Linked DNA regions of Notamacropus eugenii. The protein of the gene in region 1 interacts with the protein of each later gene in a pairwise test. Links are inferred from orthologs where the notes say so. Each region holds a gene or a part of one and is shown on either strand. Other genes may lie near its edges. The genes, in order: PGBD1, ZNF496, zinc finger protein 24-like and NR4A1.

Evidence for each region.
Region 2: the proteins of PGBD1 (region 1) and ZNF496 interact in binary tests that used the Homo sapiens proteins (3 or more experiments, as listed by UniProt). The two-hybrid records come from large-scale screens. The link is inferred for Notamacropus eugenii from reciprocal best matches to the Homo sapiens genes PGBD1 and ZNF496.
Region 3: the proteins of PGBD1 (region 1) and zinc finger protein 24-like interact in binary tests that used the Homo sapiens proteins (3 or more experiments, as listed by UniProt). The two-hybrid records come from large-scale screens. The link is inferred for Notamacropus eugenii from reciprocal best matches to the Homo sapiens genes PGBD1 and ZNF24.
Region 4: the proteins of PGBD1 (region 1) and NR4A1 interact in binary tests that used the Homo sapiens proteins (3 or more experiments, as listed by UniProt). The two-hybrid records come from large-scale screens. The link is inferred for Notamacropus eugenii from reciprocal best matches to the Homo sapiens genes PGBD1 and NR4A1.

Annotation. Positions count from the first base shown.
Region 1 is NC_092873.1:73,251,126-73,258,256, forward strand, and holds the start of PGBD1 (piggyBac transposable element-derived protein 1), read left to right. Parts: upstream 1-4,117; 5' UTR 4,118-4,244; intron 4,245-7,131.
Region 2 is NC_092873.1:74,849,269-74,856,692, reverse strand, and holds the start of ZNF496 (zinc finger protein 496), read right to left. Parts: upstream 3,016-7,424; 5' UTR 2,927-3,015; intron 2,876-2,926; exon of another isoform or gene 2,789-2,875; intron 544-2,788; exon of another isoform or gene 1-543. UniProt on the Homo sapiens protein: DNA-binding transcription factor that can both act as an activator and a repressor.
Region 3 is NC_092873.1:72,398,619-72,406,248, reverse strand, and holds the start of zinc finger protein 24-like, read left to right. Parts: upstream 1-4,612; 5' UTR 4,613-5,087; intron 5,088-7,498; 5' UTR 7,499-7,575; coding exon 7,576-7,630. UniProt on the Homo sapiens protein: Transcription factor required for myelination of differentiated oligodendrocytes. Required for the conversion of oligodendrocytes from the premyelinating to the myelinating state.
Region 4 is NC_092874.1:224,525,189-224,532,781, forward strand, and holds the start of NR4A1 (nuclear receptor subfamily 4immunitygroup A member 1), read left to right. Parts: upstream 1-4,589; 5' UTR 4,590-4,796; intron 4,797-7,593. UniProt on the Homo sapiens protein: Orphan nuclear receptor. Binds the NGFI-B response element (NBRE) 5'-AAAGGTCA-3'. Binds 9-cis-retinoic acid outside of its ligand-binding (NR LBD) domain.

The DNA.
Region 1 (7,131 bases):
GTGTCAGGCCTAGAGGCCTAAGGGCTACCTGAGTCTTTCCTTACCTGTCGCAGGTCTTTGGCTAGCCAAACCAGATAAACGTATGAGAGAAGAGACTTTCCAGAGTCGAACAAGGGTTAGGCTTTATTCAGGGTCTTGGTTACATGTGCAGGGGGAATTCTTCCTCAGGAGAGAGGAGTCCTCCTCCCAAGGAGGCAAAGATCTTACAGTAAGAGATTGGGAGCGGGAGAGGGGAGGGACCCTCTGCCCTCTAAGGGCCCCTCAGTGCTAAGAGCGCCTTCAGGCTTTCCTGACTCTACTTAAGCTCTCCTGCTGCATAGTTTGCACCTGAATACCGTGCCTGTTCTCAGCCCTTAGCTAGACAACAATAGGTGTGCTCAGACCATGGATTAATCTCGAGGGCAGGATGCTGTCCCCAGCAAGTTTCCCATGGGGAAGAGGCGGAAATGCACGAGATAGCCTGGGTCTCACACCTCAATTCCCAGCTGTTCCCTGGGGGGCCTCATGAGAACTCTAAGGTTTAGAAGTCCTCACTTTTACCTGCCCGAGACTGTCCACATGGAACTGAGCTTGCACCTCCAACAGGAGGGGAATTTAAAACTCAAAATTTTATAAAATTGAATGTTGAAAACTCAAACTAAATAAATGAATAAATTGAAAAAAAGAACTTTGGAATTGATTGTGTGATGTGGGAGACAGTGACATAAGAGAAGGTGCTGTGCTATATGTGCTCTATGAGCATGGTATGGTTGTTGTCCTTCATTCTCAAAGAGGACCAAAATGACATCACTATGCTAGAGTCAAGTTTTAATGTGTGCATCTGTGGGTGATCAGACCAATGCAAGTTTGGAATGTTGTACCACAAGTCAAGCACAACTAGTCCGCATGTGCATTTCGGGTGGGTACTACAAATTTGCACCTCCTGCATTTCCTTTGAGCTGTCTCAATTCTGCTTTGCACATTCTTGAATGTGGACATGCAGTGCTGAGCTTGTCATCCCACGTTACACAATCAATTCCAAAGTTCTTAAGGGAGACCTTGAGAGTGTTCCTGTATTGCTTCTGACCACATGTGAACACTTGCCCCATGTGAGTTCTCCATAAAATAGTCTTTTTGGCAAGCTTATATTTTGCATTTGAACAACACAGTCAGCCCATCAGAGTTGTGCTCTCTGAAGCAGAGTTTGAATGCTTGGCAGTTTAGTTTGGGTAAGGACCTCAGTGTCTGGTACCGTCATCCTGCCAGGTGATCTATGAAACCTTCCTAAGACAATTCATATGGAAGTGATTCAGTTTCCTGGCATGGCACCAATATATTGTCCAGGTTTCACAGGCATACAACAATGAAGTCAGCACAACAACTCTATAAACCTTCAGTTTGATAGTCTAATACCTCTTCTCTCTCATATTTTCCTTTGGATCTTCCCAAACACTGAGCTAGCTCTGGCAATGCATGCATCAACCTCATTTGTACCCTACCTGGTGGTAGAACATTCTGAGCTCATATTGATCTGATCAGCTACATTCAGATGCACTATAATGACTCATTTTTGATCCTGTTCCAGAACAAAGGACAACCACCAAGCTATCCTCCATTCCGGTTGAGTGTTTGCACAGATAAGTATCTTAGAATTTAAAAAATTTCTCATTAGCCATATCTGTTTTTATAGTTCCTTCTTTCACAGAACTGATAAGATTTTATGACTTTGTCAAGGTTGAAAACTCAAAGGACCTGACAAGTCCCCAAATAATTTCAAAGATAATGCGAATTTTTCAAGGCCTTTTGTACTTTTCTCAAGCACTAAATGAACATCATTGTTGATTTTCAAGAAAAATATAGCCAATTAAATATTCAAGACAGTTTTTTCAGTATAAGAACAAAGGACAAAAATTCCCAATAAGTGATTATCCAAATTCATCACTTTATTGCATTCACATAAAAGTGAGAGTAATACAAATTCATCACATTCTAGTTATCATTTCTCCAATAAATAGTATTTCTTATATTCTGGCAAGATCATGATGTAAAAATTTTAAGAGCATAACAAAAAATATAAAACAATATTATGGATTTAAAACATGAAGCAAAACTTATTGCCAGTCAAAGGACATCATTCAGGGAAATGCACTTCTAATTTGTCTTACATGGAAAAATAATTTCATTTATCCATCAATTTTGGTATTCTATTCTAGTAACTTAGAAACCAGTGAAGAGGACTTAAGATCAGCTTGCTCTTAGTGCTTATTGCTTAAGGCAAGTTTAGAAACTGCAGACTGCAAAACTGTTGACATTTTGTTCCTCCCCTTTTGGAATTACTGGAAATAAAACTTTTAAAATGGCTTCCATTCCGTTTAAGGCTTTCTGAGAATTCTCTAGTCAGAGAAATTATCTTCCTTTTCTACCCTAAAACAATAAATCTGTAACTCTTCAGGGAAGGGACAGAAAGATAAAGGAGTCTGAAAGCTACTTTCATGAAAATTTCACAAACTTTCTATTTTAAAAAAAATCCTAGAGAGCTGCAACCTCAAAAACCATTAGGATATTTTAGCACTTATAAAAACTACATTTTCATCATAATTTGGACTTGCAGATTACATTTTATTCTCAAATATAGTTTCTGGTTAGGTTAAAATGTCATAGATTTCTGCAAATAAAAAAGAATATCTGTTTCTCTCTCTATCTCTGTTTCTCTTTGTCTGTATCTTCTCCCTCTCTCTCTCTGTTTTCAACCTAGGAACACAGAAATGAGACTATGTATTTTTTTGGAAAACAGACATTTTCAGCATAACTCTCATTCACTTCCTTATCTTCTAGTGAATTTTTTTGGGGGGAATATACTGGTTGTTTGGAGTGGACTGGAAATTTCTTTTTCCAGTACCTGAGTTCGTGGCAGTAATTAGACAAGGGTGAGGTCAAATTTTTGTTCTCTTTAAATTCTGCAAAATAACATTCTTGGTCAGCTATCAGTTGCATCTGGTAAGTTGTCCTGCCTCTGGGATTCCACTCTTATTTCTTGTTCTCTCTTCTCATCTTACTCATTGAAGAATAAAAGTTATCAGTGAGAGAATTTCATAGAGAATTTTTTTGGTTTTATTTTGGCAAGGTTGTAAAGTGTGATGTTATTGTCCCTTAAAGGAATAAGATACTGCCTATGGGCTTCCTGTATGTCCAAAAAGAGATCCTCTTGGTGCATTTCAGAAGCTGCTAAACTAATAAACTGATAGTTCATTTGTTTCAGAAACTGAACTTCTATTTTAACTTGTAGAATTTGTAAAACTTATTAGGTAACCAAGGCCATTCATTTAAGTTTACGATGGCCATTTAGATTGACAGAGCTTAACCAGATCAGATTCTCCCTAGATTTTTTTCAAATCAGTCAAAATCTGTTCTGCACCAGAAATACTGGGTCCCATCGTGAAGACTGACTGTTCAAGGTGGAATTGAGGTTCAGACTTTGATATGGTTGCACCTCACTTTCCTCATCTGTAAAGTGGAACTAAATAATTGATATTCCCAACCCCATTGGGAGTTATGCAAATGTTAATATGATTTAGAATTAAACTATTATTATTACTATCAAAATGTACACTTCTGAGAGACAGAGAGACAGAGAGAGAGAGAGGAGAGAGAGAAGGGAGAGAGGAGAGAGAGAGAGAGAGAGAGAGAGAGAGAGAGAGAGAGAGAGAGAGAGAGAGAGAGAGAGGAGAGAGAGAGAGAGAGAGAGAGAGAGAGAGAGAGAGAGAGAGAGAGAGAGAGAGAGAGAGAGAGAGAGAGAGAGAGAGAGAGAGAGAGAGAGGAGAGAGACAGAGAGAGAGAGAGACAGAGAGAGAGAGAGACAGAGGAGAGGGAGAGAGAGACTTATGAATTGTTAAGACCCTGAAAGACAGGTTTTGACTGGAAAAGAGGCAAAGGTCTGGGGGTCCCAGCAAAGAGGGAGACAGTGAGAAAGGAAGGATTCCCAGCCGAGAGGGTCCCTGTGACTCTGAGGGAGCCTGCCAGGGTTCCAAGCAGAGAGAGCCCAGCGCCCCCTCCCCCAACACTGTCTCAGGCTCGGTGGGCGGGACCCTAAGGTGGGAGAACAAAGAGATGCAGCCAGTCCGCCTCGAGATTCCTAGAGAGGACCAGAGCAGCAGACACGACCTAGATGGCATGCGCACTTCTGGGCGCCCGGCGAATCCTGGAAAGCCTGGTCGGTCCTGAGCGCCCACGCGTTTTCTGGGGCGCGTACCCTCGCAGGCTTCGTGGTGAGTGCCGCCGAGGGGGATGGGGGCGCGGGATCGGCCCGGAGGGGTGTGCGGGTGAAACGCCTCTTCCTCCCCCGCTTCTTCACTCTCCTCTTCCCCTCCCCCCTCCCCCCTCCCCTCCCCCTCCCTCTCTCCCCCTCCTCTTTCCCTCCCCTCCCCCTCTCCCCCTCCTCTTCCCCTCCCCTCCCCCTTTCCTCCTCCTCTTCCCCTCCCCCCTCCCCCTTCCCCTCTCCCCTCCCCCTCCCTCTCTCCCCCTCCTCTTCCCCTCCCCTCCCCCTCTCCCCCTCCTCTTTCCCTCCCCTCCCCCTTTCCTCCTCCTCTTCTCCTCCCCCCCTCCCCTCCCCCTCTCCTTCCCCCCTTCCCCTCCCCTCTCCCCCTCCCTCTCCCCGCCTTCCCTCCGCCCCCCTCCTCCCGCCTCCCTGACTGCTGGAAGCACTTAGAGAAGGAGGAGAAAGGCCTCGGTACGCCGGGTCTGGGGATGGCGTCGGTGTCTGGGGCTCATTAGAGGCTCCGGCCGCGCCTCCCTCCCGCCGCGGAGGACGCCGGGCCCTGCTCGGGGCCTGCTCCCCGCATTTGCGCCGCGGTCCTTGCGGCAGCTCGGGGGATTTGTGGGTAAACCAAGGCCCCCGGCCGTCCCCCGGGGAGGAGCTGCCCTGGGATCCGCTCTCCCGAGCTCTGGCGGTAAGAAGGCGGTTCCCCGGTTTCTGCGTTTTCCGAGCCCCAGAGCCATTTTGACTTGAGAATGACCGGCTAGTGTTTATGATAACCACCGCCGCCTTCCGTAGGAGGAGGGGCAGGCCCCCCGGCCTCGCCGCGGCCCCGGCCCCCCGGCCCCCCGGCCCCGCCGCGGCCCCGGCCCCCCGGCCCCGCCGCTCTGCTCCGCTCCTAGAAACGGGAGGAGGAGGTGGGTGGTTCTGTTGTGCGTCCCGGCCCCAGAGGCGGGAGGAGCTGGATCCGAATCGGGCCTCAGGTGCTAGCGTGCGTTAAGAACGCTTGGAGAAGGGTTCCCCTGGAAGGCGGAATTTATTGACTTTGAAGAGTCAGGAGAACGGAGGAGGGAGAGAGTTGGCGGCGCGCCTCGGAGGCCAGGGGCCGGTGGCGAAGACTGCCTAGGTAGGAGGAGGCCGGGTCACGGAAGGCTTTCTTTGCCGAACGGATCGTTTGCTCCTGCAAACAATAGGAAGCCGCCGGAGGGGGTCCGCCGCGGGAAAGAGGGGGAGCCGGATGGAGGGTGGATGGAGGGGAGGCAGGCTGGAGGTCACCCGCCCATCCGCAGGCTGTTGCGATGGTCCAGGTGAGGGGCAGGGATGAGGGCCTGCACTGGTGAGTAGTTCAGAGAGGAAGGGACGTATTTGAGAGGTTGCAGGCCTCGGAGTGGCAGGCCTTGGCAACAGCTTGGCTATGGGGGGTGAGAGATAGGGAGGAATCCAGGAGGCCTGGGAGGATGGTGTTGCCCTCTCCTGTAACAGGGAAGGTGGGAGGTGGGAGGTGGGAGGGTTTGGGGGAAAGATCCTGAGTTCGGTTTTGACAAGATTGAATTTAAGATGTCTACTGGCATCTGAAAGGCAGCTGGAGATGCCACTTTGGAGGGCAGCGGAGAAGTTGGGGTAAGTTCTGATTTAAGAATCAGAAGCATAGAGATAATAATGAAAACCACGCGAGGCGACGGATCACCAAGTGAAGCAGAATAGAGGGAGAAGAGGAGGGGGCCCAGGACGGAAACGCTAACCTACAGTTAGATGGTATAATCTGGAAAGGATCCAGTAAAGGAGACAGAGGAACAGACAGGTAAGACAAAAAGCAAGAAAGAGTGGGTATTTTAAAAAACCTGAGGGAAGAAGATACCAAGGAGAGAGTATTCAACAGTGTCAAAGGTTGCAGAGATTTAGAAAAATGAGGATTGAGAAAAGGCCATTGAATTTGGCAACTGAGAGATCATAAGTAACTTTGGAGAAAGCACTTTCAGGTGGAATGATAAGGTCAGAATCCAGATTTTAAGGGGTTAAGAGGCCTATTGTAGAGAGCCTTTGGAAGGAGTTTTAACCACAAAGGACAGAAGAGATAAGGGACAATACTTGGTGAGAATGGGGGGATTGAGAGATTTTTCAAGAAAAGGTTGATGTGGACAAGTTTATAAAGCAGTTGGAAATGAGGCAGTAGGCAAGGAGAGATTGAAATTAAGTGAAAGAGTGGAGGTGACAGACAGGGCAGACTTGGAAAAGGTGGTTTTGCTTAGAGGATAAGGAGTAAGGCCCCTTTATCATGTGAAATGGGGTGATGGAGAAGAAAGTGGCAGAAGATATCTGAGTCATTGGAGGTCCAGAACAGTGTAGAAGTAGTTAATGCCCAGTGGCCTCAATTTTTTTTTTTGTGTAAAATATGAGTGAAAGTTCTCAGCTGAGAGAATTGGGAAGTCATGGGAGGTTTCAGAAGGGATGAAAAGATTTGGAAGAGCAACTATGAAAACAAAGTTAGTGACTTGGTGAGGGGGGGAGGTATAGTAAGATTGCCTACCAGCTACCAGAATAATTTTCTCAAAGCAAGATTTGGTTGTGTAATTCTCCCACTTATTCATTGTTTCTGGAATAAAATACAGACTCTTCAGTCTGGTATGTAAGGAAGTGCACATTGTAGGTCTTCTTTGTCTTTCCAGCCATATTTTCTAATCACTCCCCTTTTTGAATTCAATATTGCAGCCAGACTGGATGACTAGCTATTTTGAAAAGTTAGCAGCGTACTTCTGTTGCTATGTGCTTGCACGAGTAGTGTCAGTGCCCAGAGTAAGAAAGAATTCTTCCTCATCTCCATCAAGTAGAATAGTTTTCTTTTCATTGAGATTTAAATTTTTTGTTTCCCCATTTGGTAGTACTTTTTTTTCCTCCTCAAA
Region 2 (7,424 bases), about 1.6 Mb from region 1:
GACAAAAGTTAAACAGTTTCTGCCCTCAAGGAGTTGAGTTCCGTTTGGGGGAGCGAATATGTACATGTAAGAATATAAAACTATATATACTAGATGAACATAAAGTAATTTGGGGAGGCAGAGCATTAGCATTTTTGGGGATCAAGAAACACTGTATAAAAGGTGTTGATTGAATTTGATTTGGAAGCAAATTAGAGATCCTGAGAGGTAGGAGGGAAAGCATTCCAGAAATGCTGAACAATTATTAGGCAAAAGAGAATACTGCATAAAACTAGAAATGTAGGAAAGGCCCAGGTTATATACAGCTTTATATGTGTTTGTTGTTGCCGAAGAAGACCATGCCATCAGAGAAATAATAACATGACTTGTGCTTGACTTTGTTTTGAGTGAGGGAGAGTCACCAGCCTAACTTCTCCTCCAGAGCTATCTGAATCCAGTACCAGATATTCATCAGGATGACTGGGGATGACCCAGGATGAGTCACTTTGGGTTAAGTGACTTGCCCAAGGTCACACAGCTAGTGAGTGTCAAGTGTCTGAGGTGAGATTTGAAGTCAGGTTCTCCTGACTCCTGCAATGGTACTCTATCCACTGTACCACCTAGCTGCCCCATACAGCTTTATATGTTTATATTTGATCCTAGAGGTATCAGAGTCACTGTTTGGGAGTTTACTGAGTGGATGAGTAACAAGGTTAGACCTTCACTTGAGGAAAATCACTTTGGCAGGAAGATGGATTGGGATTGGGAGAAACTTGAGGCAGAGAGACCAAATAAGAGTTTGTCGCAATATGATAGGTATTAAGGCCCTGAATTAAGGTAGTAGCTGTTACTGGAGAAAAAGAGACCTATGAGAAAGACGTTAACATAGAAATAACAAGATTTTGCAACTGATTGCATATGTGAAATGAGGAAACTGAGAAAATCAAGGCAACCTTGTTTTAGAAATAATAATTACTGAATTCTTAGACATTTTTTCTCATGTTATCTTAAGCATGAGAGAACAAAAATAAGAAAGGGGGGTGAAATGGGAAAGAAAAGGAAGGCAAATGGGGAAAGGGTAGGAAGGGAAAAGATGAAAAGGAGAAACAGGTCTGAATTAGGCTACTATCAACAACTAACTGGTCCCTTGGTGGAAGAGAGTGAAGATTTAATTATATCATGTTAGATCTTAAAAGGAATTTTATAATGCATTACAAAAGCAGTCTTGCATAGTGGAAAGATTTGGATTAAGTCCTAACATTTTTTGATCTTTCACTGAGGAACAAAATTCTCAATCTAGCACTTTTTCCATGTTACCCTGATTCAGTTCTATCTATTTCATGTTCTGTTTCCTAAACTGCTTCATTCACCAAGTAGTAGGCTGAGCATGCAGGAGAAGATTGAAGAGACCCATTCTTCCCGTTTCTCTTAGTAAAGCAACACCTCAGAAACTCTCACCTCAGACACTTGACACTCACTAGCTGTGTGACCTTGGGCAAGTCACTTAATCCTAATTGCCTCATCCTGGGTCATCTCCAGTCATCCTGATGAATATCTGGTCACTGGATTCAGATTGCTGGTGAGGCTGGAGGAGAGGAGAAGTGAGGCTGGTGACCTACACAGTCCTCTCTCACTCAAAACAAAGTCAAGTACAAGTCATGTCATTATTTCTCCGATGGCATGGTCTTCCTCTGCAAGGAAGGACGAACACAGTAAAGCAACAAGTATCATCCATGGCCAAAAGTCTCCTTTCTGTCCTCAGCAATTCAGCAAACATCCAAGACAGAGTCATGATCAGGAATCATTTGAAGTAGTGAGAAGAGTCTCAGCTATGACCCTTTTGAGAAAGAAGTCATTGCGAAGGTTGTGGAGCCAGGTCAGACTGTGCCAAGGAAACAAAGCTCATAGAAAATTTTGAGCCAGGTAATCGACTTACGTGATCTGTGTATCCACAGACAGCAGCAAATGATTAGTGTTTATTTTCTGGATATTTTGTATTTATTTATATGTATACCTGTTATTTTCCCCGATACAACATAAGTTACTTGAAGGCAGGGGGATCTTTTTTTGGGGGGGAGGGGTTTATTTGTAGAGAAGTAGTGTCTGGCATAAAGAAGGTACTTAATAAATCCCGGTTAACTGATCGACCGTTAAAGATGGTTGCTAGGTAAGGGTGAGCCAGTGTTTAAAAGAGTATCAGCATGCCAACTCATCCTTCTACGAGGGAAAAAGGAGTGAGCCTTGGAGAGCATATAAAGGCGCCTGATGTTTACAAGAGAAGGCTAAGTTTCAGTAAATACCACAAAAACTTAGTTCTGTTAAAGAGACCGGGGTAAAAATTTTGAGTCAGAAGGGCCACTGGAGATGAGCAAATCCACCCCCACCACACACGCCGTTCTATACGTGATGAAACAGAGGCCCACCGAAAAGGAATCTGTTTAAGGCCACAGGCCTAAGGGGGGAGTCGGGCTTTCGGCCGTCCGACTGTCCATCCTGCCACTGCACCACAGTAAAGGAAGGGGCCCCCAGAAGGCAGGGGAAACGCGAGGCGGAGCGGGAGAAGGCTAGTGACGGGTTTTCCGTTGGTGGGGAGAAGCCTCCGGGTACCCGAGGGTACCCAGGGCCGGCGGCCACCGAGCGGGGTCGAGGGCCGGCTTGGAGAGGACCCGACAGTGGCAGCCACCGGCCGGGGCGGGAAACGAGCCGAGGCTTCCCCCGGGATGACAGTATGTGAGGCGGGGCCCCGGCTACTTCCGGCCCGGAACCCGGCCTCCCCCGAAACGGCGGGGCCTGCCCGGCCTCCATTTACCTCGGAGTGGCGGCGGCTGGGGTCCGGCCGTGGGCCTGCCCCGCTCTCCCCCTCCTCGTCCGGCCCGCTCTCCTGGCGGCACCGCCCTCCCCTCCCCCCGCCGCAAACACAGTCGGTTGGCCTCTCGCTCTTTCTTACCCTTCACCTCAGGACTGATCGGAATCTTTGCACTCAGTCTCCGGGCTTCTTCACTTCATCTCCATTCGCTTGGCGAGGACTTGGGGAGAGCCCAGAGGAGAACTGCTGATTGGCTCCAGGCGGTGACGTCACACGGGAAAAAGTTCGGACCCAAGAAACCTCTGCCGGCAGGTGGCGCAGCTCAGCCGCGGGTCTTGGGCCGGCTCCGTTTCCTCCGCGAGGAGAAGGAAGTTACCCAAAGGAATGTATCCCATAGGCTGAAGGCTTCCCTTTTTAAACCCGTTCGGAAGTGTCTTCTTACGGCTTTGGGATGCTTCGACTTGAAGAACAGCGTAGGCTGATCTAGAAGGGCTTCTTAAAAGAGAGAGGGCTGCCCTCGGGCCTTCTGCGAACGGACCGCCGGGCCTTCAGAAGCCAAAGAGGTGTCTTTGGAATGTCCGGTGTTTGCAGAGGAGACCATGTAGATCTCAGCCACTCCGGGCTTGGGCAGCACGCCCCCTGAGCACGCATGTTGATTTCACTGCTTCCAGAAATGTTGCAGCTTCTCTGCTGTGTCGTCTTCATTTCCAGCGACGCTAAAGTACAGTCATCTATTAGATGTCTCAATGCAATTAAGGCTGGACTTTGTAGGAAGACCAGACGCAGTCCTTTAAAGTCCTTAGATTCGTTCCTGAAATGAATACAATGTTGCACACAGACAAGGGATTCATTAACCACAAAGGTTGAGCAGGAGTGAAGTGTGGTGGTTAGCGTTGGATTACAGGGAATCCCTCCAACTCTATCTGTGTGATCATGGTCAGGTTAATCTGGAAAACTGGAAAGAGTACTGGCGGTAGTCGGTTCAAATAGGTTCAAATCCTGCCTTTGGTGTTTACTCCCTGTGTGACCTCGGAGGTCATATAACGTTCTCAAGCCTCAGTTTCCTCATCTGTAAAATGAGGGCTTTGAACCAGGAGATTCTGAGGTCCTTTCCAGCTCTGAATCTAATAATTCAATGATCTTTTGTAGATAATAATACTTGCAGCATCTACTTAACTGTTCGTGTGAAGTAAGGTGCTTTTTTAAATCTTAAAGACTATTCAAAAACATTTCTTTTTAAAAATTAATTTGTTTTCTGTTTTCTATTAAAACACCGAATAGAATAGAAATAGAATTTCTATCTAAAAAAAAACCATTTCTTGAGCTATTACTTGTGGAATGATACTGTGCTTGAAGCCGTAAGGGAAACAAAATAAATTGGAGTATCTATTCAAGGATAAGACTAATATTAGTTAACATATAGATCTGCTTTAAGGTTTGCAAAGGATCTGTGAGTTCATTGGAATGGGTTATACTCCTCCTTAGACTTATACTAGAATTTATTAGGCAATTGTAATAGAACTGTAATAGTAGAAAAATTCATTATGCTGTGTAACCAGCTTGATCATGAGTCTCAGTAAAAAATTTTTTGACGATACTGCTGTTTTTAATCATTCAAATAGCTCATTATCTGTTTCAAATTCTTTATTATGCACAGTCGCACAACTTGAAGCTGGTTAAATACAGTTCTCATAATTCTTAAATACAGTTTTTAGATTATAATATGTGACTTTACCATGAAAGTATTTGGCATTTAATAAAATTCTTAACAGGCACCTTACATGAGGGTAAAAAAATCAATCTGTTTCCATTCCCAGACACCCACAGTACATAGAATCGTCTGCCAATAAGAAAAATTGAGTACTGACTTTTGTCAAAGTGGCATAGTAGGAAAACAGTTCTTAGAGAAATGTAGTCAAGATGATTTAGCTTATTCATAATATAAGGTTAATTGACAAGGCTTGTACTGAAGTTTACAAAAAAATTATCTTAGGTGGTTCATGAACCTTAAGAGCAAGTGACTTTGCTGTGTATCAGATGAGAAATATATATATATATACGTATATACATATATATACGTATATATATATATACACACACATGTATACACATATATAGTTATAGTTATAATAGTACATATGTATAATTAAGTACATATATATAATACATCTAAGAACTGAACTCATACTTGTGAACATATGTTCACAAGTACAACCTTCTCTTAAGAATCTGAACAAATGAGGACTTAAATTCAGTGATAAACAAAATTAAGACAGACACTATGTATTTCCTAGAAAAGTTAGCTTGTGAAATCTGAGTTGTGACTGTTTAGAGCTACAGTTTAACACAAGTATCTTTAAGAAGATATGAATCGGAGATGACACAGAGTCCATTTATCCTAACAGTTAATAGGTTTGTGAATTTAAGAATTGGTGTTTTCTGCACACATATCTAAAATTTCCCTAATACTTAAAAAGTAAAATACCTTAAAGTACAGGGGGAAAAATCTTATATGAAAATTCACAATTTTAAATTATTAACACTGTAGAAAATCTACAGAAGGGCTGTAGACTAAGAATGGCAAAAAGAGACAATGGAACTAAAATTGTGATCAACCCACTACGTTATGTATTTCCTTAATTTGCAAGGTTGTAATGAAGCTATAAATTTAAAACATTATGGAATGGGAGACTTAGAACAAAAGAATCATATATAAACCTCTCAGACGCATACAAGACTTCTAAAATATACTCAGTGAAAGGTGTAGGCATAGAATACCTAGTTGTAAATTTTTACATAACACCATAACCACTTGAACTTTCTAATATCATCCAAACACAGGTCTTGTTTTGAAAAGAATATCAGTGATCTGGAAATGGATGGGGGCAGGAAGTTTTATGATCTATAATCCTATAGGAGGAATATGAAATTACAAAACATCAACCTACACAGATGAAATATTTAACTGTTTAGGCTTATGCATATCTGAATGCATATTATCATCAAATCAAAGTATGAAGTAAAAAAAAAAAAAGACAACACCCTGGCAATTTGAGGAAGTTCCAATGTTTCAGGGAAAAAATATTTTGAAGAACATTTAGTAGTATAACAAAATAAATACAGCAGGATCAGATTAAGGGTAACAGTTATAAATGAAATTTTGGCCTATTTTTCCCCTGTAGGTTGCAACCATCTTGACTTTTTTGAACTTTTACAGTTTTCCCTCATGCTTAATTCAGATTTGAGGCTGCTTAACATACACCTGTGATTCTAGAGATTCTGCTGGTGAAAGTTTTTTTTTTTTCTCTTGTCTCTTCAGTTTCTCAGAAGCTCTTCTCTATAAAATGATCTCCTACTGCTTGAAGTACCATTTGCCTTCCTCATTCATGAGGACTAGGTTGCAAAAGTATCTTACTTGGAAATTTTTCTTCACATCTTATTGTTAGAGTTGGGTCATACCCTCCTGGAAAGAGTCAGTTCACCTTTAGCTTGTATCCTATCCATTATTTCATATTTAGTTATGGTCCTAAATGCTGGGCTTAATTCTAATGATCTCTTATATTGGCTATAACTCCATATGCTCAATTTTTGTTCTTTCTAATAAGAATTATTTTCCAATAATGACATCTTTTGAATGATATTTTAAAGATTTATTATATTCAGATTCTACATATAGACAATTTCAATGCTGATGTCCATCTTTATAGAGATGTTAGCATCAGGATGGGTTCAAGGTGACAAGCAATAAAATCATACTTATTTTATTAGCACTTTAAGAAAATAATTTTCTTGAAACAGATTCACCATCGTAGAAGAGGTAGTGTTTTTCTACTTTGCTAACTTCTCTGTGAGAAAACTTACTGTCCATCGTTAACCTGAACAGAAACCCAAGCCCAATCATTAATAAATTTAGCTAAATTGACCCTTCAGTCCTGGATTTTCATCACTGTAGGTAGGTCTTTCCAACTTGGTAGAACAGGCAAAACTTGAGTTCTACTGATAAATCTTCTTAGAACTGGGATAAACAGTTACTAACAAGTTTAAAATCTATAGGGAAGATTAATGGTTAGAAGAGTGACATGAAAGGTCATTTAAACAGTCTACATTTCCCACATGTACTCTAGCAAAAATGTAAAAAGGCACAAGATGAAATGACGGTCAAAAAGTTCAAAGAGAAATGATAATAAATGCCTTCATCCAGACCAAAATCGAAGAAAAAGTCAGAAATTGTGGTCACTGGGAGAGAGATTCCACTAGGGAAGCCAGCATCAGCCCAGAAAACAGGCTGAAAGTCTACACCTGAAGAAGCACCTGAGGCTTGCAACCTTGTGAGGGGAAAGCCTAAATTCTGTGGAAGTTCACAATGTGGTCAGATGGGAGCCCTCTGGCAGCAGGAGCCAGCAGTGCTCTGACCTAGATACTTGGCATAGTGGGACTGGAGTGGGAAATTGAAGATTGCAACACTCCGACCCAGAGTAAAACAGATGCCTGGAATGCTCTCCCTCCTCACCTCTCGTTTCTTAGATTCCTTGAAGACTCAACTCAATTCCCATCTTTTAAAGAAGCTTTTCCTGGTCTTAACACAATGTTTACTTTGCCCCAACACAGAAAAGATTATGCAACAAGTTTTAAAATGAAT
Region 3 (7,630 bases), about 850 kb from region 1:
ATAATCTATTAATTTATTCTATTTCCATTGCTATGTCAACTAGAAGACTGTTTGCCCCCTTCTCTAAAAATGTCCTTCTTGGATAATTTCCCCTTATTTAAAGTGAATATAAGAGTTTTATAATGTAATTCACTGAAAAGATGAGCACTTTTTATTTTTTAAAATGCATCACAGGAATTTTAGCAACAAGTTTGAAGACATCTTTTTCAGCTCTTCTATTAGACCTGTTGACATTGACCTGGATCTGTGATTTCATTGTCATAAAGAGCATTTTCCGCTGCACATTCACAATTTAAACTATGATCATACCATTTGTATATATGAGAGAGAGGATTTGAACTCGGATCTACTAGATTTCAAAGCTAACACTCATCTACAACACCATGCAGTCTCTCTTGTTATCACACTTTAATATGAAAATTCAGGCTTATAGGAAGGGTAGCCAGAGAGGTATAGGCCCAAGAATAGATGGTTGCCATTATCTGGGATGAGAGATTATTGAGGTCAAGAAATGGACAAGACTCCCAGTTTAGAAAAAAGACATACTCTGATTTAAGCTAGTAAGAATGTAAATAGTATGTAGTTTAGAGCTAGCTCATTTGACAAGAACAAGATGCTTCCCTGTGTTAGTAGGAAGTCTCTAACTTTAAAAAATGTGTGTGTAAAAATAAGCTACCAAATCAGATTATCACTTGACATCAAAGTATATTATAACAAACTGATGTTAAGCTAAGTGGTGATAGCATCATTATCATTTGGAAATGGAAAGTTGTAGGGTAAAACTTTTTCAGAGTATCTGAAGCATTGTCTAAGAGGATCCCCTTTATTAGCTGACTCGTATCTAATTATAATGGCAGGCATATCTTTATAATGAAGAAGTGTGATTGATTGGGCTATTGAATCTTATTGTAAGTATCACTTAAAATTGAGCAAAAGGAACTTTAGATAATTTTGTCACAAAATTTCAGAAGTCTCAGTACCTGAGAGGCTACTTATTCCAACCCATAACTTAACAGTATACCCCAGATAGCTCAATACCAGAAAAAGATAATTAGTTAATACAACTATGTAATTGTGATTAATACATATATATTTCCCCAACATAAATTAAAAAGTGACTTCCTAATACAAATAAATTTTGGGATTTGGGTATCACCCTTGGGTAGCTTAACCACTGTTTCCAAGCATAGACTTTGGATCAGATCGCAGTCAGAGTCTGGACCCATGATGATACCACAAAAATGTAGAAACTGGTAATACCTGATTTAAAGAACTTGCCAAAATGCATTCTTCAAAATTGAAGTTAAAAACATCCCCACTATAGTTTATAAGTTTTAAAGATTTTATATTTTCCAGCAGCTCATCGATATGTATTGGGCAAGTATAGTAGCACAGAAATTATATCTACATGTTTAATGGAAATAAGTGTTCTATTTGAAAATAAAGCAACTGGCTTATTTATTTAAATTACTTTGACAGAAACTGATAAACTAATTTTCCCTTTTGAGGGATTCATTATACGTATTATAATAATACACATTTTGTTAGTGATAATGCCTATGTAACGTACTCCATTGACTGTATTCTCCTGTTGTGCTTCAGTTACACCACTGAGTAGACAAACGTCAGACGTGAGAAAGAAGAAGGAAAAGGAAGTACCTGTAATTGGCCATTTGGTCTACCTGTAACTGTCACAAAGTATAATCATTTCACACTTCTCCCAAGATTATTAATATATCTAATGCTTTGGATGATTCCAATAGGTTGGAATTAGTGTGGGCCAGCTAAAAGTATATGTGACAAATATATAGCAACAAGTCATCAAAAAAAGCCAGTGGGGAAAAGTGAATGCAAAATGGAGCTTGCTTATAAATATGCTGATAGTGATGATGTCATGTGGATTATAGAGTTAAGTATATATGTATGACTGTATTGATATAATGTATTATTTTATATTATAGAAAATGTAAGGGTCTTTTCTTTGGGACTCATTCTCCTTGTGGCTGAAAAGAGCAAACCAATGACCAATAAAGCAGTGACCTCCCCATAGATAATCATTGTTGTGTGTTATTCCCCCAATAAGAGGATGATCATCGTTGCGTTAGGACTTGGATACCTTGCACATTAGACTGGAGAGTCTAAATCAGGTAAACTGAGGGGTACAACTACCCTCATTTGGTTAATCATTCATTCAGCAAGTGTTTATTAAGTGCTTAAAACATACCAGGCTCTGGGGATACAAAACAAAAACACACCTGCCTTTATCTTCTACTGGGGGAAACTGATTACATGGATAAGTAAGTACAAAAATACTCAAAGTAATATGGGATAGGGGAAATGTTCTGAACAATGGGAGGAATCAGAAAAGACCTAATATAGAAGATGACACTTGTACTAAGCCTGGTTGGAAAATAGGAATTCTAAAAAAAACAGTTGAGGAGGGGAGTAACGTCTAGGTATGGGAGATATTCTAATGAAAAGGCTCAAAGGTGGGAGATGAAATGTCATGTTCAGCAAGTTAGACCAGTCTGGCTATGACATATGTAAAGGGCACAACATATGATAAGCCTCAAAAGACAGGCTATGCCCAGATTATGAAGAGCTATAAACAACAAAGGACTTTGTATTTTATTCTATCAATTCAATATGATGTAATCAAAACTTTCCCTGGGGACCATAGGTAGGAAATCTGATCAGAGCATTCTTTCTTTCTAACAGCTGAACAAGCCCTTTAAAGTTTCAGAAAACATGGAGGTCTCTATCTGGAAAATTTCTAGGCATGATCAAGATATTTGTACCTGCTATTAGGTAAATGAAATAATCTCCAAACACAGGAGAAGATTTAGGGAGGATGTGATAGTTTTCTTGAAATATTTTAAGTCTCATCATGGAAAATATATTAGACTATTTTGCAGAGAAACAAACTTTGGCTTCAAACAAGGAAACTATTCCTAAGAGCTGTCTAAAAATAGAATGGGCTGTTTGACAAACATTAAGTGACTGCTATGTGAAAGACATTCCTGAGAGTTGAAGGTAAAAAACGGAACTAAAGCCTTCAAAGAACACACATCCATTGGAAATGTAGTGGGTTCTCCCTAGCTGGAGGTCTTCCAGCAGAAGCTGGAATCACAAGGTGGATTCCTCTTCAGGTAGGAGTTGAACTAAATGACCCCTGAGGCTCAAACCCAGACTGAATCTGTGATTTTACAAATCTTTTATGCTTTTGATGGCAAGTAACTAAAAAATTTAGTTGTAGTAGAAAAATACCTGCCAATGTACCATACTTATGAAAAATTTGCCCAGTGAGTTGTCTTTTCTGAGTTGGCTCAAGCTTTTTGTTAGAACTAAAAAAAGCAGAGATAATGCAGACCAAACTTTCACTTCCCCCAGCCATTTAACCAAAAGAAATTTAGCTCTGTATTTGTTTTCAAGCATCCCTGAAATTCCACCTCATGTGACGAACCAGTTTTCCTTCCTTAAAAAAAAAATCTTGTAATCAGTATATAATAACTTTGGTCTTTTTTATTTCCTTTCCTTGTGTATTTCATATCTTATAACTTTTATGGCACCATAATATTCCATTACATTGAAATACCATAATATATGCATTCTCCAAATAAACAGCAAACATTAAGTACCTACTATGTACAGCATTATGGTGGACTCCACAAACAAAAGTGAACCAGCCCCTACCCTTAAAGTGCTTGCATTCTAAAAGGGAATTTGGAGGATGTGGGGCTTAGGGAAGGTGCAGAAAAACGCTAGGAAAGGCTTGGTGCAGAAGGTGATGCTTGTGCTGTCTTAAGTAATTTGGGATATGAGTAGTTTTCAATTTTTGTCTTTTTCAAATCTCTCTCTCCTTCCCCTCCCTCCATATATGTGTGTGCATGACATTTGCCTTAGTCTTGACATTTTAAATGACTATTATTTTAAAATGTTTGCCATTCCAACAGATACAATATATCCTAACATGTAACTTTCTAACGAATATATTACCGGAAAACTGTTGGAGATACTGTTTCAGACACCTAGCAGATACAAGAAAGCTTGACATTATGTAACTTTCTAACGAAGATATTTCCGGAAAGCTATTGGTGGTAACTGTTTCAGACAAATTGACAATTGTTAATGGAAAGATACATTGTTGCTAGGTTGTAGAGGGTTTCAAAAACCAAATCGTTTATACGTTCCAAAAGTCTTAGTGCAGGTTTAAATTTTAGTATCAAAACTGCACTAAGACTTTTGCAATGCCTCGTATCTTATCCTAGGGAACCAATGGAGTTTATTGGACAAGGGAATGACATGGTCAGTCCTGTACTTTAGGAAAATCACTCAACTGTGTGGAGGGTAGACCGGAGAAGGAATAGACTTGCGATAACGAGAACCTGGACTAGGGCGGTGACTTTTGGAGGCTTTGTGCATAGCGAGAAGGGGTAGAAAAGGCAGGATTTGGCATCTGACTGCAAATGTCGGGGGAGACAGGATAAGAATCGTCGCCAAGGTTACGAAAAATGCTTGCCGCCCCTTTCCGTTCTGAATCTACCATCACATGCTTGTAGGATTCCCCACTCCCTCATCTCTACGGCAACCACTTGAGTCACTTCCCCCTGGCCCGCTCCGGATTGAGAACCGGAAGCAGCTCTGCCGGGAGGCTTCTGGGAGAACGTTTTTCTAACATCCTTTTACGACAGCCGGGGAGAAGGCGAGCCACCTCCTTCCCAGGCCGGGGGTGAGAACAAGAAGGGTACAGGGCAAGCCTGCGTTCGGACAAGTCCGAAGTGGGGGCACCGAGAGCGAGGACCCAGGAGGCTTCATTCATCCGTGTGTCCCAACTGCTGCACCCATAGCCCGAGATCTGCGAGGAAGGACGGAAAAGGGGGGAGAGGAGAACTTGGCGATTCTTCATGGCCACCCTGCTGTGACGTTTTCAACCTCATCTCCGTGCCCCGCCGCGGAGCCATTGAGGGTTGAGTATTCCAAGGGAGGTGCCTGTCTGCAGAAAGTAGGGGCCGTGTGCGAGGGCTTCTGGGAAGAGTAGTCCGGGCTGGGTGTGTGCGGAAGTCTTCAAAGGGTCTTCTTGGAATTAGGTGAGTGCTGGGTTGAGGGTCCGAACATCTCAGGTTGCCGGCATGTCGCCTCTGTGGCTCCCCAGGGATGCGCCTGGGCGTCCGTGGAGGTTCTAGACCCTGCAGCCAGAACAGGAAGATTGTTTTTAGAGCTAGGCCTGCTGTGTCCGTGTCCTGTACCCCTCGATGACTCTTTCCAGCCTCACTCCCTCCTTACTGAGCTGACGGGGAAATTTTTCTTAGAAAATAGGCAAAAAAGAGGGGGAGGGGGAAAGGAGCGTTTCCTTAAGTAGCTTTCGATTAAGCGTTGCTCTCTGCGGCCAATAAATGAACACACATTTTTGAAAAACTACATACTAAGTGCCAATTGCTGGAATAAACCCTGGAAATACACCCAACTAAATAATGATGCACTCCTTCTCTCAAGAAGTTTAACATTCTGTTGAGGGAGACAACGTGGACGTAATTTAGAATATGCAAAAGACAAACCCCGTAATTTTGGAGAGAGCATTAGCATCTTGAGAAAGGTTTCCCAGAGAAGGTGTTACTGGAGTTGTTTTGAAAGAAACAAGGAAATTAAGAGGCCGAGATGAGGGAGTGCATTCCAGGCATAGGATTCAGCCAGTGCAAAGTCAAGGAGATGGGGAAATGGAGTGTCCTGTGTAAAGACCAGCAAGGTCAGTCTGGCTGGACTGCAAGAGTGTGGTAAAAAAGGAGTGGATAATAAGGGATTTTGGAAAGGCAGGCTGGGAAAAGGTTGTGAAGGGTTTCAAATGTCAAAACTCTTTTGTACATGGTATTTGTTTGAATTTAATCCTAAAGAATTAAGGAACCACTGGAGTTCCAGTGAGAAGGTTACATGGTCACACCTGTGCTTTAGGAAAGCCATTCTAGTAGATTTGTGGTGAATGGATTGGATTAGGAAGAAATAAAACAGGAAGAGGAGGTGACAGACTATTACAGTGATCTATGCATCTGGCGATGTGGGCCTGGTCCAGAGTAGTGAGTGTGTGAAGAGATGGGTGACATTTGAGATGTTAAAAAAGTAGAAATATAACTATTTGGCGACTGAATAATAAATATGTGGACTGAGGAAGGGAGGTTTCCAAAAAATAGACAAAAACCTTGCGCCTAGTCAGGATTAGGAGTGAAAAAGCACACTAGTAGAATCTTTTGCTCATAAGGACTTATCTCGGACTCCTAGGGTTGACGGAAGTCCCTTTCTCCTGGTTAGTACATAATGAACTTTTTGAAAAGAATAAAGGGTTCCTTGACCACAGTTACTGAGTAGACTTGAGTCTTATTCAAGTTATTTAAATAAATATTGAAAGAAATGCACAGGGCCTGAGGTGAAGGTAGAAGGAAGGTAGAAGGAGGTAAAATTTTTCTGTCATTTGTCTTTGGTTCACTGGAGGGAAAAAAAGTGTGCTGACTACCCACAAACAAAAAACAATAAAGATCCATATAAGATTTGAACAGATATTACCTTAGCATTACAGATTTTACTGTACCACCCATTTCATCATGCTTAATATTTACAGATGATGTGTACTGAAAATTATTTGAGGACAAAATTAGGGGAGCTGCCTTCAATTTTTAAGAACCACTTTCTGGGGATCATTGAATACATTATCCACAGTTGCTATTAGGTAGCTGTTTCCCTAAAATCTGACTCATACACTGGAGGTTTCTCACAGATTTTTAGTTCATTCTTTGTCTTTCTAGCTAATCTTTTATTTGTTGTTTTCACTCATCTTTGTGACTATATGAATAATAATATTAGTGGTAATTTCTCATATTCATTTTTTTTTTTTTTTTTACAATTTTAAAGGCAGCTGGTGGCACAGTAGATAGAACACCAGGCTTGGAGTCAGTAAGACCTGAGTTCAAATCCAGCCTTAGACACTCACTGCTTTGTGACCCTGGACAATTCTCTTAAGCTCTCTCAACCTCTGTTTCCCTAACTGTAAAAATGGCAATAATAATAATAACACCAGGCATAGTGCCAGGTACATGGTAGTTGCCATATAAATACTTATTCCTTCCTGGTTTGTCACAACACACCTGTGAGAGAAGAAGTGCAAGTATCATTCCCCTTTTTCAGATGAGGAAATTGAAATTCAGGGAAATTTAATAGCCCGAAGTTATACAGCCAATAAGTAGTAAAGCAGAGACTAGCATTCCAACCAGAATAATTGAGTGCTTTGGCTCTTATGACCAGATTTTCCTTTCCTTTTATGAAGTTGTGGTTTATATAAGGAATAAAATATCAATATTTCTTTGTTCAGTCTTATTTTTCTATCTCATAGAAAAGCAAATATCCTTATCGGATGATTAGCTCCTGACTAACCTTCGTTATCATATATATGTCTAAGCTTTTACGGTTAGTTATCTGTTGCTGCTGATTTTTTTTTTTTTGTCCAATATTCCAGGAGTGGTAGAAGAGCTAAAGGTAACTATATTGGACCCCAACTGAAGTAAGTTTCCTTCCGACATAGTGTCATTCAGAATGTCTACAGAATTGAGTGAGGATTCAGTATTGATTTCTCCCACTCTAACTGAAA
Region 4 (7,593 bases), on another chromosome or scaffold:
AACTTCCTTCTGCTCTTTTCTGTGTATTTTAAAAATACATATTTTATTGAGTCTCCTTTTGTTCATTTCTTTTTCTGTATCATTAGAACTTCTTCCATCCTCCCCCCCTCAAAAAAAAAGCCCTCTCATAGAACAAATAAGTATAGTCAAGCAAAAGAAATTCACACATTGTGTCTGAAAATGTCTGTCTCATTCTGCATTTCGAGTTTACCACCTCTCTGTCATGACGCAGGAAGCTTGTATAGTCATCAGGCCCTTTGAAAAGTGATTGGTCATTGATTGCACTGGTCATAATTCTTCAGTCTTTCACAGTTTAGTCATTGTTCTCATTCTCTTCACCTCATTGCTAGTTGCTTTCTTTTTCAGTTTTTGAGAATAATTTTAATTTGAAGGCACTTGGTACAGAAGATAAGAGTCCCATCTCAGTCAATTTCTGGTTCTATAAACCTCTTCAAATCACTGAATCACTGCCTGCCTCAGGTTCTTCATCTGTAAAATGGAGGTAACAATAGTCTCTACCTTCCAGAGTTGTTGTGAAGATAAAATGAGACATTTGTAAAGTGTTTTGCAATGCTAGCTATAATTATTATTCTTTAAATATTTGGTATTTTTATACCCAGATGCTAATTTTATAACAATAACTGGCATAAGTGCCAATTAAAACAACACTGAGGTTTTTACTTCATACCCAGACAATTGGCAAAGATGAGAAAAGATGGAGGAAATAAATATTAGGGGACTCTGGAAAGACAGACATACCAATACATTGTTGATGGAACTGTAAGTTGGTCTAACCATTTTGGAAAACAATTTAGAATTATGCTAAGAAAGGGGTCAAAATATTCAGCACTCACTGCTGGGTATTCATTAAGGGCACATGGACACACACATGACACACACAATATTCATAGCAGCACTTTTTGTGGTAGCAAAAAATTGGAAATAGAACAGATGTGTGTTGATTGGGGAAAATCTAAATAAATTATTGGTATACAAATGTAATGGAATGTTACCGTGTCATGAGAAACAATGAATATGAAGAATTCCAAGAAATCTAGGAGTGCTTAGATGAACCGAAGCAGAATAGAATAGAAACAATATTCATTGTGGCTACAACAGTGCAGATGGAAAAAAACAACAACAAAAAAGCTCTCTGAAAATCATATAATTATAACAACCAAACTTACTTCCTGAGAAGAGCTGAGAAAATGTGCCTCCCTCCTTTCTTTGCACAGATGGGGAGACCATGAGTGTGGAATATTGCATATACTGTCAGACTCAGCTCGTACTGGTTGGTTAGACTGAACTACTTTTTTTCCTCATTTAAAAACTGTTATTACAAACACTAGCCTTCTGGGTAGGGGATAGGGAAGAGATATACTCTGAAATGAAGATGGTGTGAAAATATGTATCAATAAAATATGAAACATCAAAAGCAATGAAATAAAAAATCAAAAGAAAAAATCTGTTCCTATGAAATTTTAACAAAGAATTAAATTCTGTGAGAAGCCCCCCCCCCAAAATATTGATTCAAGCTGACAGCATCCCATCATGGGTGTTATGGGGGAGATCCAGAGGAAGGAGGAACAAGTTTCCTGCCTTTTGAATTTCCAGACCAAGAAAGAATCCCGATAAGCCAAGTTAGGCTTGGAGAACTGAATAGCTCAGTAAGATAATTAAGAATTCAAGTGCCATTCATTAATATAATGGAACATGATAATGCAATTTAAGATTGTAGGAGGCATACTGAGAAACCTGAAAAGATCTATTTGAAATAATAGGGATATTGAACTTGAGTGGGCGAGGGATAGGGGTGGTACCCATAATTTAATTGGTTTAAGGAACTCCATGGTGAGGAAATAATACAAAGTGAAAAAAGGCTACCAAGAAGGATGTGGTATGAGTACATTCTAACTACAAGGATACAAAAGGAAAAGGGAATGAGAATGATTAGTCAGAGTGAATGAAAAATTATGATACTTGATGCACTGAAATTAGTTAATTTGAATGTAAATAGTTGCTAAGCATCTCAGTTGTACTGAGGCTCATTTAATCTTATTTTTATTGTTTTGGTTTGGTTTTATGCCTCCTTTATTTTGGATGGTAATCTTTGAATAAACATCTTTTAAAGGAACTAGAAAGTACCATCTGGAGTGGAACTGATAGGTCTCTTGCTCGACCTTCTTTCTCATTACCTAATCCTGGTCTATTATTTCTGATTTTGCATTATGTTCTTTTCTCTGAAAGTAAATCCTAGAGAGGCACTCATGTTCTGGAGTATTCAGAAGTGGGGGCTAGTAAAGGAAAGAGGGAGCATATAACAGGCGAGTCCATCCAATTAAAAAGGGATGGCAAGAGAAAAGTGAGAAATTAATTAATTAATTATGGGTTTGATGAAGTGGGTATCTGAAACAATGGGGTCCAGCGGATTTAGGAGGTAGGAAGATTCAAGAGGTCCATTGATCTGGAAAAGGTTTGGGGGAAAATGGAAAGGTGAAAGGCCAGAGGCAACACCCCATCCCTAGTTTGGAAAGGCCTAAGGCCAGGACAAACTGAATCTACTCAGAATATCTAGTTTGAATTCCCTTCCTCCACTCAGTAACTGTGTGACCCTTCGAGAGGCATTTAACTTATCTGGTCTTCAGTTTTTTCAACTGAAAAATAAGGGGGTCGGGCAAAGTGACACCTAAGCTGTCTTCTAGCTCCCACACTGGGTGATTTTTCTGTAAACTCGCTTTATGTGGTGCAACAAGTGCTAGGATTGATTGGAGAAACCTCAATTGAATCCCTGGGAGCTCATGAGATCACCAAGTAAAATAGCATAGAGCCTGGGTTGGCAAACTACGGCATGGGCCAAATCCAGCCTTTCACCTGTTTCTGTGCAGCTCAGGCCCATGGGCCTCTCTATCCCTGGGGAGAGTAAGAAGAGAAAGTGACTCAGCGAAGAGCCCTGGGGGATACCCACGGTGACCAGTCCTGACCCAGATTGAAGATCCAGCAAAAAAAAAGACTGAGAGGGAGGGGTCAAATTAAGTAGGAGGAGAACCAGGACTGAGAGTCATGAAAAGCTGGGGAGAAGGAGAGAAGAGAGCATCAAGGGGGAGAGCATGGTCACCAGTCTCAGGTGCCACAGAGAGGTCAAGAAAGTTAGAAACTTTGGAGACAGCAATTTCAGTGGAAAATAATGAGGTTAGAAGGCAGACTGCAGAGTTAAGAAGAAAGTGAAAAGAAAGGAAATGGAGGCACCTATTATACACTGCATTCTCCAGTAGTTTAGCCACAAAGGCAGGGGGGAGGGGAGGGGGCCCAGCTGCAGGAGGAAGAGGGGAGAGGAGGAGGAGGGGGAGGAGGTAAAGGAGCAAGAGGGGAGGTGGAAGGGGAAAGGGGGGAGTGGAGGAGGACAGGTATTTCGGGAGTGGATGCATTAGATCTCTGAATCTAGAGATTCCACGAGGCACAGGGAGCAAGAAAGACCAGGTCTATCTATTAGACAGCAGATAAGGGCTGGAAATCAGTGAAGGTTTAGTTTAGAAAGTCGAAAGCGAATTCTAAATGAATGAATTAGCATTTTTTAAGGGACTGTGATGCACCAGCTTCTGGGGATGCATATCTACCCGGACTTGCGATTTCATTGGTATAGGAATGCAGACCCCCATCTTAGGTACCACGGTCTGGTCCGAGAGAATCGCCTGAGAGGGATAAGATCGTGCGATTAAGAGAGCTACTATGTATACATCGTGCAATTAAGAGAGCTACTATGTATCCAGGGTCTGAAGGCTGGCCGAAGCCTCCACGCACGCAGAGGAGATCTGTAGCTCTCTTCGTCCTCACCCCACGCCCCCAAGTGTTACTGTCTCCCTTTTATCGCTGAAGAAACTGAGGCAGAAGGAAGTGAAGTGCCTTGCCCGGGTCCGAGGGCTGGAAGGGGCTGACGGTCCCAGGTCCCGACTGCTTTCCCGCGGCACCAAACACACTTCTCTGCGCGATACCTCGGATCGAGGGAGGGCCGCCAGGAGCAGAAAGCGCTCGCTGTCTTTGGAGACCAGGGCCCTGGGTTCGAATCCCTCCCTGTTCACTCTCTGGGTCTCAGTTTCCCTCCCCTGTCTGCAGCTAGGAGGCGGCGGACGGCGCGGGATCCGAGCCTTTCCCAGCTGTGACCGGTCTGCCTCAGTTTCCACAGCTGTAAAACGGCGACGACGGCCGCAGCACCCCGCCTCCCGGGGTGGTCGTGAGAATAAAATGGATTAACATGGGCCAACCTGCTCGCTGCTTCACCGAGGGGGGCAGGGGCACGTGTGCCACCTGCCCGGGCGGGGGCGGGGCTCCGGGCGCGCGGGGCTATTCCGCCCGGGAGCCGCTATTTTTAGCCCATTGAGGCGGGCGACGCTCCAGGGGCAGGCAAGCAGCCGCCACCGCCGCCGCCGCCGGGATTCCGGAGACGTCAATGGGCGCGCGCGTCACTCCTCCCCCGCCGGCCTCCGGGGGGAGGCGCGCTGCCTGCCGGAACAGCCGCTCGCGCCCAGCTCGCGCTGGGGAGCGGGGGGAGGGGCGGGGGGAGGCCCGGGAACAGCCGGGCCGGGGGCTCCCTTGGCTCGGAGAAGGAGGAGGAGGGGGCCCATGGCGACCGCGGGGCGGGCGTGCGGAAGGAGAGTGAACCGCATCGAGGAGCGGGCCTCGCACCCCCTCTGGGACCCCCGCCCAGGGTTGGGGGCCCGTGTCTGCAGAATGAAGGGCGTCCCTCCCGGGCGGGGCTTCGCGCCCTGCACAGCCCAGCTCGGGGAGCCCCAGCGGGCCAGGTGAGGGAGGGGGCGGGGCACGGACTGGGGAAGCCGGGCTGGAAAGTGGGGGCGGAGCCCGGCCGGGGGCGGGGGGCGGGGCCGCCGAATGGGCAGGAACTTTCCTCGGGAGGGAGCGGGGGAGGGAGGGAGTATTGTCGCGGTCTGGGAGTTTTTTAGGACTAGAATCTGCTTGTGTTTATTATCATTATTGTCAATATGGAGCATTCTAGATTGTTTTCAGATTTGCAGACCGCTTTTTACATGTTATCTACATATTACATAATACATGTCATACGTAGATAATATATTTGCATATATTGTCTAATATATTACATGTCGTAATATGTAGATAATATGTTTACAGATTTTATCTAATATATTACATATATTAACCCAATGAGGTTGCACTGTGAAGTAAGTGCTATTATCCCCATGTACAGATGAGTAAACTAAGGCGGAGATTGGAGTGGTGACTTGCCTAGGATCATATAGTAAGTATCTGAGTCGGGATTTTATCTCCTGACTCCAAGTCTACCACCCAGTGGGGGGGGGGTTGGGAAGGGAGAAGGTAGATAATACCGTCTTGGGAAACTTGGCAGTGCCCAAGGCACATTTCCTAGTTATGTGACAAAAAAGGACAGTGTGGTGAACCTCTATTCCCTGGGCCTCAGTTTCTCACGTATAAAATGAAGATAATCATATACTCCCAGGAAAGAGTGTCCTGCATGCTCCCTGAAACCTGATTATATTTTGGGTTCTGCATGAAAGTGGAGTATGGACAAACTTGATAACCTAGATTAGGTTCCTGCTGGCAAAGATCACCACCATTCTCTCCCTCCCCCCCTCCCCGCCCCAACCTAGGAGGGGAAAAGGCACCTCTACCTCCACCCCAGGTTAAGCTATGTAGGCTGCCCACCTTCTCTGCTACCTTTGGACTTAAAAGATTTTCCTAAAGCATTGAGAGATGGTGAGCTGCAGTATGTGGCAGAGGCCAGGCTAGAACCTGGACGGGTCTTCCTCATTCCAAGGCCATGCTGCCTATCCAAATGAGTGGAAGAGCACTTATTTATCACTTTCTGTCTGCAGTGCACACACGTGGCTATATGCTGGGTAGGCAAATGCAAAAAGAAGTGAGTTTTTGCCATCAAAGTTCTCATATCACAATAGTAGGAGACAATACACAATACATTGTGTTGACTGAGAAAGAGTTTTTCACAGAGGAGTCACAGGGATGTTGATGGGTGTCCTAGAGGCAATCAATTGACACATTCTTTTGAGGAATGGTGGTATAGATTTGATTACTATTCTCAGAGTTAGTTAGAAACTTGGGGAGGAAAGAATGGGCCATTTTGATGGCATGCAGATAGATGGGAAGTAGTCTGGTGTGTCTGCGTCTGGGCTAGATGTGGTGAATGCTCACCAATTAGAAGCCCAGGGTCTGAAATATGGGAAGAAATCTGATTATCATAGAGAGTAGGATGCTACCTTCTACCAGGGTCTGAAGCCTAGAAGCCTAGGCTGAGAACTTGAGATCTAGGTCAGAGGTGGAGACTTGAAGATGATGATGATGATGGATGACAGCTAGAAGTTGACAGGTGAAAAGGTCCATACAGGAAAGGAATCCCTCCTTCAAGACCTTCAAGATCCTGTCCTTAAAGAGGGAGCCCCTTCCCACTTTTGGACAATTCTAACTTGTTTATCCCAGTGTTGAGCCTAAATTGGTCTCCTTGCAAAATATAACTTCTATCTACTGCCATTGACTCTACCCTCTGGGGTCCAGCAATTCACATACTTGGAGACTGCTATCATGTCCTCCATCCCCAGCTCCCTACTTCTTCCCTTTCCCCTTCCACCCTCCCCCAGTCTCCTCTTCTCCAGGTTAAACTGGGCATTCCCTTCCATTAATCTCATATGCCATGGACTCAAGACCCTTCATTATTCTTTGGTTTGACCCAGGCAGAGTAAAATGGTATCATCATCTCCCTGTTCCTAGAAACTATTTCCCTCTTAATACAGCTCAAGATTGTTTCTAGCATTTTTTTTTTTGACTGTCCATTACACTGCTGACTCCTCCTGAGCCTGGAGCACCCTGATCTTTGTTCAGACAACTATTATACATCCTTATCTCCCTCATCTTTTACTTGTGAAGTTGATTTTTTGGCACCCAAGTGGAAGACTTTCCATTTATGTCTAGGGCCTTTCACTTATTCCATTCAGTTCAGTGCTATAGGCTGATCATTTTGGATCCTGATTCTTGTCATCACCTGTGTGAACTCTTCTTTCCAGTTTTGTGTTGTCTGCAGATTTGGTGAACATAACATCTGTTCCTTTATCCAAGTCATTGATCATATTGTTAAGAGGCATTGATCCCTGGGGCACTCCATTGGAGACCTCCTCTCACTTTGACATTTAGCACTACTTTGGCTGTCCAAAGTACTGTAGATACTTCTGCTTTAATATCAACCATATCCATCTTCTTTGCAAGAAACATGTGAATAGTTTATCAGAAGGTTTGTTTGTTTTTTTTTAATCTAGGTAGATTGTATCCACAGCATCCCCCACTTACGTAATCTCATCAAAAAATACAGTGAAGTGAGTCTGGCATGGCTGTGCTTGGGCCTTTGTAATCCCTGATTGCCTGATCCATCCATCATTTCTTTAATGATCTGTAAACATGGTAAATGCCCATCAATCAAGAAAGCTCAAGGTCTCTGCCTTTGGCCCAAGGTTGGAGCCTTGGGTTCCCAGGGAAGGTAGAGGGTACTTTTCCTTCAAGATGACTGAGTGCTTCTCTTGACATTGGAGCCCTGGGTAT